2 linked regions of the Caenorhabditis elegans genome follow. The protein of the gene in region 2 interacts with the protein of the main gene of each other region in a biochemical or structural test. Each region holds a gene or a part of one and is shown on either strand. Other genes may lie near its edges.

Region 1 (5,025 bases), on a different chromosome or scaffold from region 2:
TGATGACAACGCGTGAGGAACAATGATGAAACATAACTTTCACACGTAGCACACATGGCAACCGGTTTTGTTCAAAAAAAACCTTTCCGAACGATCATTAACACTTATCAAGTATGTTTAATGAAAACATTTAAACTTTGCCATTTAAATAATCTTAAAAATGTTCCCCAATTAGATTTGAATTAATCTTTGAAAACTGATAGGAAAAACTTGTCTGATACCAGTTTTTTTTTGTTTATTAGACTCAGTAATATACTAGTACAGTACTTTTGGAAAACTATTGACTTTTCATTGAAATGTGCTCTCCTGTTTGCTTTTCCAAGCTATCAACTTCCCTTGATTTTCTCCATAGATCACGATAATCTTCAAATTTACTGCAGCATTGTATCATAACAGCTAAACTGTGAATATGAATATTGCTGATTAAGTTCTGCACAATTAAAAGAGATATTTTCATGTATCAATTTTCAACAGATGGAAACTTGATCGAAATTTTGAAATTGCAAGAACAGTTTTTTTGGCGTCTGTGGTGTTGAATGTTGTGAGTGTTTCAAAATTGTGTCAAAAATATTTGAAATACTTTTTGAAACGTTATCTGACAAATGAGTTTGTCAAAGCGTCCCAAAATTATTCGCACTATTCTTAGAGCCCAGGAGAGTGATCCTCTCATGTTTTCCTCCCACGTTCTCCTTCACTTATCACTTTTAACCAGACACTCCCTACTACACTTCACACTTCCTTCTCATATTTCTTCAAGGATTCAAACACACAAGTCTGACCACCAAGATTTTATTAGCACACACGTTGTTGACATTTAAATTTCCGGGACCCATCGAAGGAAGAATAAAATGGTAAAAAAGTATTTTACAAACTACAGAATATTGATGTTGGCATATTTTTTTTTGGGGAGGGGGGTTGTTCGGTTTGATGACGTCGATTTGGATGATGTTGAGCAGGATTGAAGTGATGGATTTAGGAGTTTACTCCTCCTCCTCCTCCTCTCCTTCCTCTTCCTCTGCAAGTTTTCAGTTATCGAGAAAATCTAAATCATTTTTGACAAACCGGCTTCTGGCTCAGCCTCGGCTTCCTCTGCAACTGGCTCAGCTTCTGGAGCAACGGCAGCTGGAGCGGAGTCTTCGGCCTTGGCATCCTTGTTCTTCTTGGACCAATCTGGCTTGTCGTCCTTCTTCTTCTGAAATTGAAATATTTGTTTATCAAAATTCTCGAACATTGCAGATAAAACTTACAACATTGACGATGGCCTCCATAACGTCCTTCTTGACAATCTTGAGGTTGGCACGGAAGTCTTCCTTGGTTCCGGCCTTGCTCTCACCGCTCTTCTTGAACTTGTTGTCGTACTTCGACACCTTCTTGAGTGAAGGCTTGACGCTGAAAAATAAAAAGTAAAATCAATACTTTGGATGATTTTACATATATGGGAAATTCATCAAAAACTGATAAAAACTCACAACTTTCCACGAAGATCGTTGACCTCAATAGTGAGGGAGTTGATCTCAGCCTCAGTCTGGGAGACGACGTAGTTGATGTCGTACTTCTCCTCCTCGAGCTGGGTAAGACGAGCCCAGAGGTCATTGTAGATCTTCTCGAGTTGTCCCTTATCATCAATGGAGTCAACATTTGGAAGTGAGATGGTTCTGTCAGCAAGAGCCTTTTGTCTTTCTTGCTCCTTAAGCAATTGTTGTCTCTTAAGATCCTCGGCGGCCTTGACCATCAAAAGCTTCTGAAATCAAAAATAAGTTAAACATTTAAGTGTTCCAAAAACACAACTTACACGAAGCTTCTTCTTACGCTCTGGTGTCAAGAATCCCTTCTTGGCCTTCTTCTTGTTTCCGGCCTCTTCGAGACGCTTGCGCACCTCGGCCTTCTTGGCCTCGCGCTCGGCAGCTTTGCGCTGGGCGTCCTCTCCGGCTTCTTCACTCATCTGAAATTTTAGTTTGGGGTACAAGTATCACAAAACAGAAGATTAAATTCACAAAATGAATAATTTTTGAATGAGCATAAAACAAATTAGCGGCGAGCCTGATCATGCATCCGAAGGCCTTGTGAATTGAAATCTGAAGTATCCTGCCAATAGATGTCGCAACTCGTGAGAGGTACCTAGAGTTGGCAACAGCCGCCCCACAAACCGCCCGCCCTCCAATTCTGTATCTTTGGGTCTCTCGGACAATGCCATACAGACAGATGCTCTTTCCAACACGTCTCCCGCTTGTTGTAATGATTCTTGCCTACCAATTGCGTTGGCCGAGATTGATTGAAGACAAGCGAGAGATAGGGATAGAGCTGTGGCAACTTCAGTGGAAAAAACCAACGGAACGCGGCAAGAAGATATTGGTTTCAGATGGGGCAGTGGGTCAAGTTATGAGCTATTCGGTGAATGGGGCTCCGAACAATTTATGAAGCTAGTCTGTAGTTTTTCTGTATTTTCAAAAAGAAGATATGTGATCAAAAATCAAAATCGTACTACTAAAAATACCTAAACAATTTTTAAAATAACATACTGATTTTTCAACGGTGTCACTGAGTTCATCAATTCGATTGCTTTTTTGTAGTTGTGACATGGCTCGCTAGTGAGATCTGTAAATATTTGTTGGATAAATTGTTTCAAAAGTGAATTGGAACATGACATTTTTCATCAGAATCAAGAATAATTTTATTTATTTTTTCACAGTGTTTTGTTTTCAACCATTTCTCTTTCAGTTCCATAATTTCATGCTGTCACGTAGGATTTGAGTAGGTCAGAAAACAAAAAAACCTAAAAAAAAATTGACAAGCTGACAAGTGTGACGTGTGGAAAAATACAATAAAAATAGTCACGGTGGCCGGTGAGACTCTCTTGAAATTCAATATGTTAGGGACCATGAGTTGAAAGTGTTGCGAGGTGTGGGCAGATGTTTGAGATTTGTGATAAGTGATAAAGAAAAAAGATAGCGGGGATAATGAAATTGGGTATGCAAATCATCATTAGTTATCACAAAAAGTTGAATATTATTACTTTCAAATTGAATTTATCAGTTGTTATCATAAAGTAGTTATTTTTGACAAGACTATAAAATAAGTGAATCTAAATCATTAAAAAAATCACACATTCAAAAATCAGATCACAACGAGAAAAATCTACATTTTCCAACAATGGTAAATAACAACCCGAAACTTGTAAATAAATTCCAATTCCCTGTAACTATTTTCACACCCATTTTAGTTTATGGAGTAGTGATGGATTAAACCGATCTATTGTCCTGTTTATTTTTAACACTTTTTTCCATAAACATTCACATTCTTATCTTGAATTGTTTTCAACTGTGTTATCACGCTTTTCTGCCAATCTCCGAATAGTTTACACTGTTTTCTTCTGATGCGGCAAGCTCTATCTTTCTTTTGATACATTGTTCATTGCAACGAGTATATAGAGAAAGAGAAACATCGGAAGAAGATACAGAAAAATAGCTGATGGAGGCGATGATGATGTTTTGGTTAAAAACGTTGAGCAGTAGTGGGGGCACAAGTGTTACGAAATATTATTATACATGAGCGGTTGTCATATGGGTAAATTAATTGGCACTACCGAACTTTTACAGCTTACAATTTTTTACTTTTAGAAAATTATTTCTTGATTGCTATCAAGGAATAATTTTCATTAGAAGTAGTGTCCTCAGTGAGGTATAACTAATAATGAGCTAAATTGGGTATAAATAAAGTAATATTGGAACTTGATCACATAATCCCTGTTCAGTTGTATGTATTGGAAGTAGGTGTTGGAGCTTGCACAAATTCTCGAAATTATCCTAAAAACTCAAACTTTCCGTAAACAAAATTCACCACAGCTTCGCATTAAAATTTTTTAGAAATTCAAAAATCCTAGGAGTGTTAAATTATGACATTTGGTTATTTTGGACAAGTATAAGTGAGAGAAGGAAAAATGTGCGAGTGCTATTTTACTCATTTCGGATCTTTATTATTATCAAGAGCGCATTTATACGTTCTTGGTTAGTGACAGTATGATTAAAAAAATTTATATCGGTTTGTTGTCAAAACTTCAAAAAAAGTTTGTATAAACAATACGCTCACTCAATACGTATCGACAACTCCTCGTTCAAAAAGTAATATTAATGTACGTTTGATCACTTAAAAGCAGGATATCAAAATATTTTTATTGTTTACAATTTAAGCTGCTTTGTGAAATTTACAAAAGAGATTTATTGCAAAATCTTTAAAACCAGATGAAAATGTTATTGTGAAAAATGGATAGCAAAAGGTTAACAATGTAAGCATGAGATATGAGATTTGATGTAAATTAATATTGATATCAAATTTAAAAAAAAAATAGAGATTCAATTTTGTTAATACCCAAACTGAAATTGTACATTGTCTATGTTTATCGTTTTACCATAATTTTGAGATACTATTTCACTCGTTATAAGTTCCCATCTGCCTCTCACCAATTACAATTCAATGGCAGACAGCGTGCACAATTAGGAGAATTGAACATGACAAACAACAACTGACGTGATCAGTCAGTTGTTAAAAAAGTTAAGGCAGCATGAATTCGGAAGAAGTGAGAAATGAATTAAGATCAAGGATCAGAGATAGGCAATTTCTTCTTCTTCAGCATCTGTGTCAATTTCGTTATCCAAAAGAAGCCCCGTGTCGCAATTGTAGTTTGTTGCACTGCTGCGAAAAACATTTGAGTTGGATGAATAAGATCTGAAACTGAAAATTGCCCAGAGGATAATGGAAATAAACCAGTGAAAAATTCAACACTGTTCTACAAACACGTTTTATATACACAGCAAATACAAACAATCAAGCATCAAAAACTGGTAATATATTAGTACGACTTTTTTTTTCATAAACGTGCTTACAGAAGATTAAATTTCCAATTTATTTCTGGAGTCTTAAAATAATGTCAGTCACTTAAAACAATAAATCGGCTAAAAATAGAGAGATACTAAGACTATAAAAACAAAAAAACAATAAAAACAAGCCGCATTTTTGAAATGACAAACT
Region 2 (7,083 bases):
TGAATGAATATACATTAACAGAAAACCGGAAAAAGAAAAATGTACACTGTTTTCGATATTGCTAAAAACATCAAAAATCCCCATATCCGTTCAAAAACAATATTGTGTTATATTGTTTTACAGTAATGAAATTGGAGGCAAACTGTCCCCAACTACCGGATTTTGTAATGAGACGTCTTGAAAACTTCTCATTACGAAATTCGGTCTTTTTGGGGCATTTTAGTCTAATAGAGCAAAAATTGACTTATTTAAATATTAAATTATTAACCTGAATATATACTGAAATGGAACACCGACTTAAAATAAAAATTGATTATAAGGATTTTGTTTAAGTATTACCGTAAATATATTCAGTAACGGAAAATCGAAAAATGGAATGTGTACACTATTATAGTAAATTTTGATACCGTTAGATAACAATTGCATGTTCAAAAATTTGTATTGAAAAAATTACTAAACCTGACAAAAATTGAATATATACTATATTATACTGTATTAGAACTGTTATTGCTATATAGCCTCTAATGGGAAATGATTATTTGCTATGGTAAATATCCGGAAAATTTTAAGTTTTTTTTTAAAAAGCGTAGCTGAGTAGTAAAGCTTAATGAAATAATGCAGTAAATACGAAAAATGCTAAATTCAGACAGAAAACCACAGTCTTCAGGAAATTTCGGCTGACACTACTTATTTTCATTAACGTTCAATTTACGATAGCGTGCAAAAAGTAACAATATTTCCTCTAGCCTTATGTAGACTAGAAGTTATGGTAATCACGTTTGATATAAAATTGGGTTGAAGTACTTAATTTTGCGAACTTATCTGAAAATTGACTAATCCGTCAATGCATAATTATAGTAAATATGTCATTTTGAACATTAATTCGGATAGAATGAAATTTAGAAAAGAAGTGTCTTTTCTTTTCCGACACATCCAATACGAACAGATATTATATAACGAGGTCCCCCTAGTCATATTACATGCAAGACTAATCGATAGGAAATAGTGTAGCAAGTAGCTGGTACTATTCATGGATCTATTTTTCATCACCATTATATAATCGTAATACATACATACATGCATATATACATGATCACGAATCTTAGTTGACATTAAATTATCACGACTTATTTAGAAATACTGTCTATGATAAATAGTTTTAACAAGTATTCTCCTACAAAATCATTAAATATAACCCTAAATTCAAAATAAACCACTACTATTATACCTCTTCCACATAATCCACTGATATTATCAAACAAGTTGCCCTCTTGACAATAAACTCTCGAACGCCAACTGTTTCGAATGTTTTGTCGTCGGCTGGATGCCACAATTGCTTCTTTTCGGGGATAAGAAGAAGAGCATATACACACAAGTAGTATTGGATTCTAATGTCAGGATTTCAAAAACTGAGACTCTGATCATTGACCGACTTTTGGGAATCTGAGATAAAAAAAAAGAACAATAACAAAAAAAAGTTTAAGGGAAGTAAATGCGTTTCTATGGATAGTGGGTAGGGCTGTACAAATCGGCGTCCGGTCGTCCGATTTTGACACCACCGGACGCACATGCGTCCGGTTGGGGGTAGCTATCCACGACGGCCGACAACTTCCGAGTTTCGCCACTCACTATACTTAATCAGCAATTTTATAGTGAGTGGCGAAATTCGGAAATTGTCGGCCGTCGTGGATAGCTACCCCCAACCGGACGCATGTGCGTCCGGTTCGAACTTCGGACGACCGGACGTCCGGTTGTACAGCCCTAATAGTGGGTAAAGAGAAATGGAAAAATATGGGAATGTATGAAAATTGGAAAGATGAAATGTGGTACTTCTTATTGTAAAATTAGACACTAATCAAATTCCGGAGAACAAAGCTATGTAACATGGCACTGTAAAAACTGAGCTTGTCATATTTTTTAAAATTCAGTTTTGATTGTTCAGTTTTCTTTAAAAATTCATTCATGAATAGTTACAGTAATAGGATATCTTATATCACGTGTGCATTAGTGTTGCAACCCTTTCCATAAAGTTTCAAGGTTCTTAAAAAAAGGTTCAACTGGAAAAAAACCATACTTGTAGCATACTCTTTCGTAGTGTAATATTACTAGGGAAGCCCAGATTTATGATATCTGTTCATATTGGATGTATGGTGAAAGGCAATATGATTTCGTTATGTTAGGCTTGAAGGCTTGTTAATAGGCTTTAAAAAAGGCTACCAGTAATGTTAATGTTAAGGTTGAAGCCTTGTTAGGCCTCGAAAATGAGACACTTATTTTTTAATTTTAACTCCATTAATGTTCAAATTTAAGGATGTCCTTAAAAATGTAACTAATTTTAATGACACCATTACTTTAATAATTTATTAAAGTTTTAGTCAATCTTGAGTTAAATTTTCGAAAATTTTGCAGCAATTTGATTTTACATCACTTATGGTTATTATTACTAACAGTCTAGATATATAAGAAATATCGTTACTATTTGTACGATAACGTAATTAACAATCAAATTGATAATCGTTTCAATTTTTTAATGTAAAGAGGCTCAGAACGGCTTTTGCCACGTCATCAAGCGACCACGCGAATATCGGTCCTGGAACACCATACCACCTTACTAATTATGTGGTTTTTTTTTAAAGTTTTGTTCCTTTTTCCATTCCACGAGAAACCCTTCTTCTCCCCAATCATCATCTTTTCCATCTGCCATCGGCTCTTGCTCTTCTCCCCACAATTCCCGTTGCTCCGTGTGTGCTGTAATATGCTCCAGGGGGGTGGGTGGGCAGGGATCCCATAGGCATAGGTCTCCACGAAATCAATACTATCTAATCATCTGCCACACCCCCGTCTGATGTTGTGGAGGAAGTGAGAAGAGAGAAGAAGAAGAAGAAGAAGCGGGGGCTCGTGTGGGAGGAGTCTCGTGAAGACGGGAACCTGAAGCTAACGGGAGAAGAAGAATCATTCTCCCCTCCAATTTGAATCGTCGATACTCCGTGTGTTTCAACACAACAACAAACTACCAAAAATGGACGCCATTAAGAAGAAGATGCAGGCCATGAAGATCGAGAAGGTTTCCACACTTTTTTTAAATTTTAATACTGTTTTATAGTGAATTTCTTCAACTTTTTCAATTTTAAAATTAGTAGTGGTCATATACATTCCAATATTTTGAATTTTTCCTCAAAACCATATACACATATTCTAGGACAACGCTCTCGATCGTGCCGATGCCGCTGAAGAGAAAGTCCGTCAGATCACCGAGAAGCTCGAAAGAGTCGAGGAAGAGCTCAGAGACACCCAGAAGAAGATGACTCAGACCGGAGACGATTTGGACAAGGCTCAGGTATGGGTTTAAGCCAGAATTTAGGCTCTTTGCGTATATTTTATCGATTTTAAGACCCCATATAAACTGGCTTCCTAAATTTTCGCTTAGATCTTGGTTTGATAAGACTTTAAGCTATCAGATTTTTACCAGGAAGCTTAAAAATTCATGAAAATCGCAGGAGTTTCTAGAAGTTCCAAAATATTGTCTAGCTTCTACTTTGATACCATATATAATTAGCGTATTATTAATACCTACTTTCTCAACTTAAAGCCGCTATCCCGGAAGATTTTGGCCTGAAACTGAGCAAAGTTCTGAAAAGCAGAAGTTGAGCTCTAAATTTCCTAATTTTTTGGAATCAAGCTTTTACAATACCTTATATATAGCGAATTTTGATTACAGTCCGATTTCAGAAAACAAAATTTTTTAGAGACACTGGCGCTCAAGTAACCTATAAAATCTTAAAGTATAACTAAAAATCACCCTAAAAACAAAATTCGAAATTCATAGTGCAGGGTGCTCAATTTGTAACTTTTAGCCCTAAAAATTTAACCTGGAATCTAAAATTTACCTAGGACACCACTAGAAATCAAATTCGAAGCTCATGGTGCATCGTCCACCTAGGTCTACCTGTCTCCCTGGGCTTATGCTCCTAAGCTGAAACACTTAGGCTTAAGCTAAGCTAAAAGAATAAGCTCAAAATCAAACTTCCATTTTTCAGGAGGACCTCTCCGCCGCCACCTCCAAGCTCGAGGAGAAGGAGAAGACCGTTCAAGAGGTGAGTCGACTTTCTTTTTAAAGCCCAATCCGGGCAGCTTTTGGTTTCTAAACCGACTTCAGGTATTTCCAATTCCCAATCCACAAGCACAACGACCAGGTTTGTGGCGCGATGTTCAAAGTCAATTAATCCGTTAATTAGTCAGTGAGTAGTTGGAATGAAGAGAGAGAGATACATACATATATACAGCTAGTTTTCCATTCCTGTCCTTTTGGGCATGAAAATGAGTGAGAGAGGGTGACGTTGATGATGATCCGCGGTTTTTTTCTCTTTTCCACCCTCTTTCTCTCACTTCCCATAGGCTTCTTCCCCCACCGGGGTAGCTATTGTTTTGTGTGTGTGTGTGTGTCTTCTTTTTTCAATAATGTTCATATATATATATATATATTGTTTCTTCAAATGTTTGGTATACATTGTACTGTATTCAATCATGATTCACTTTTTTCATTCCGTCGAGAGTCAGAGATAGGGTACTGTAGAAATCCTTCTTTCCCGAAAAAGACTTGATCAGGGTGTGGCTGTTATCTAGTTAGCATGTTATATAACATTATGTAATGATGTTCAAACCAGATTGGCATCACTTTTAGCTCGGTTTTCCAGATTTCCCAATTTTGTAAGTTGTCATTATACTGTTTTATTGAAAACTGATTGTGAGCAAAAAGTGTTGTCAATTTATGTAATTCCCTTTAGTCATTGCTATACGTTCTTGAAAAAATTTTGTTGGCTTAAAACATTCTTAAGCTCCGGCCTTAGCCAAATTTTGCAAGGCTACTTTTCAATATTTCGGAAAATTCTAAGTGGTGCCATGTGATATTTAATTTTCTAGCTTAACAAGCTATTAGTTTTCAAGTACTGATCCTAAAAATTTAAAGCTTAGAGCAGTGGCATTTTTTTTGGAATTTCACTAGTCTGGCGGTAACTTTAAGCGAATGTGATCTATTAACACGTGGTGCCAGGTTGTCTCATTGAAGTTTGATCTACAAAAAATGTGGGAATTTTTAGTCAGCACATTCTTAGCCATGCGAAATCAGTTAAGAACTGTGCGTCTCTTCTCCCGCATTTATGTAGATCAAACCGAAGTGAGCCACTCTGACACCACGTGTAATATAATAATCCAGCAGAATTCAAATTCCTCGTGGTGATTTTTCATGCATTACTTTTCATAGTCTTCGAAAAAAATGCTCAATATTTCCAACTTCGGAGTATTTCAAGTGTATGTTAAGCCTATTTTGAATCCCACGCATCACCGAATTTATCTAGATTCCTAGAATATCTACAGTGCATTTTTTTCCACTTCTCCAACTTTAAAGGAGGGCGCATTTATACGAAATGGTCCCGCCACGCGGCCCAAAAATCAATGCGTGGCGGGACCATTTCGTGTAAGTGCGCCCTCCTTTAAAGCGGTAGAAGTGGAAAAATATCAGTGATTTTTAGGAAAAAAACCTTTTTTTGTCGAGAACTTTTTTCCCTCTCCCGACGTTTTTTTTGCACACAACTTGGCGCGCCGAAATCCAATTTCTTTGCGAAAAGCTCAATCCCATTTTCCGTTACTGCTCAAATGAGCGAGAGGCGAAGAAGAAGAAGAAGATAAAGTTCGAGGAGTGTATGAAGTGCTGTTGGGGGCTTCCTTCCCCTGCCTGCGCCATTGTCTAATCTCTAAGTCTCTCTAGCTTCTCTCTCTCTCTCAATTTCTTCTCTTCCAACTGATTACAACGAGATGTTTGCTTTACAACAACTCCTCCCCGCCAATAGGCTCCCGAGGGCTCACTGAGCATCAACGGGCGGCGCGGCGGGAAAGAGAGAGAGAGAGCATCTCCCCCGCAATTTCAAGAAACGAGGAGAGCTGTGTGATCGGCTTCTCGGCATTTTTCAAGGGGCAAGTGAATGGCATGTCAGTTGAAATGGAAATAAATGAGAATAAATGAAAGCGCACACACCAAAATAGAAACTACAGTAGTGCCTAATGGGTCTCGCCACGATTTTCGTAAAAATTCTAAAATTCCTAGGATTTTCTTCCGAGAACTAGGCAAATGCGCTGCATTTTCAAATTTTTTAAAGGAATTTGCAGGGTCTTAGGTACTAATTTCTAGGGGTTTTATTTGACATTTTCAGGCGCTTATTGCGGAATTTCTTACTTTTAGTGTCAGGCTGTCCCATTACTGTTTGATCTACAAAAAATGCGGGAAATTTAGAAAGAAATTACAATAGTACCGAGTAGGTCTCGCCACGGCAAGTAGACGCAAGTTTTGACTCTTTTTGTGTAAGGTTTTCGGTGGAAACTACTCTACAATTCCCAGGGTTTTCCCTCAGATTTTGGTTCTCAGATACAAATTTCTAGGGTAGGCCCTTAATGCGAAAATTCTTACTTTCGGTGTCAGGCTGTCCCAATACTGTTTGATCTACAAAAAATGCGGGATTTTTTGTGACATCAGCACGTTTTAACCATGCAAAATCAGTTGAGAAGTCTGCATCTAAATCCCCGCCATTTTTGTAGATCTAGGTAGATCACACCGAAATGGGACGTGCTTTTGAAGGGCAACTTTTGAGCGCCCAAAAGTTCAAAATTTTGGGGAATTTTCCCGCCTAGCTAACAATTTTTCCTGAATTTCCAAGTTTGTTCGGCCAGTGTTCCCAGTTTACAAAACTGGCATTGAACTGTCATTCAGCTCAAGACCACCTACCAATTAGAGACACCTTCGGTACATACACCCCAGTCAGCCGGTTTCCCGGTCTCCATCTCTACCACAATTTGAATAGAACATGTAATTCGGGTAAATACTCGACGTCTTTTCTTCCTCTCTCTCTCTCTCTCTCTCTCTCTCTCTCTCTCTCTCTCTCTCTCTCTCTCTCTCTCTCTCTCTCTCTCTCTCTCTCTCTCTCTCTCTCTCTCTCTCTCTCCAATTTCCTTCTTTTGTTGAAGAACACGTCAATGTACCGCCCTTCCGGTCAAAACACTCAACAGGAAAAGGAAAGGTCTCTCTCTGTATTT

The links.
Region 1: the proteins of lev-11 (region 2) and unc-27 interact in far-western blotting, tested with the Caenorhabditis elegans proteins (one study listed by BioGRID).

What each region holds. Positions count from the first base shown.
Region 1 is NC_003284.9:8,786,373-8,791,397, reverse strand, and holds unc-27 (Troponin I 2), read right to left. Parts: upstream 1,943-5,025; coding exon 1,793-1,942; intron 1,742-1,792; coding exon 1,470-1,741; intron 1,390-1,469; coding exon 1,248-1,389; intron 1,193-1,247; coding exon 1,063-1,192; intron 1,016-1,062; coding exon 981-1,015; 3' UTR 777-980; downstream 1-776. Other genes in the region: ZK721.3 (G_PROTEIN_RECEP_F1_2 domain-containing protein), read right to left, coding at 4,599-4,722.
Region 2 is NC_003279.8:14,626,896-14,633,978, reverse strand, and holds the start of lev-11 (Tropomyosin isoforms a/b/d/f), read left to right. Parts: upstream 1-2,884; 5' UTR 2,885-3,019; coding exon 3,020-3,064; intron 3,065-3,199; coding exon 3,200-3,337; intron 3,338-4,037; coding exon 4,038-4,094; intron 4,095-6,926; exon of another isoform or gene 6,927-6,999; intron 7,000-7,083. UniProt on the Caenorhabditis elegans protein: Tropomyosin, in association with the troponin complex, plays a central role in the calcium dependent regulation of muscle contraction. Involved in muscle actin filament organization and muscle arm extension and morphology.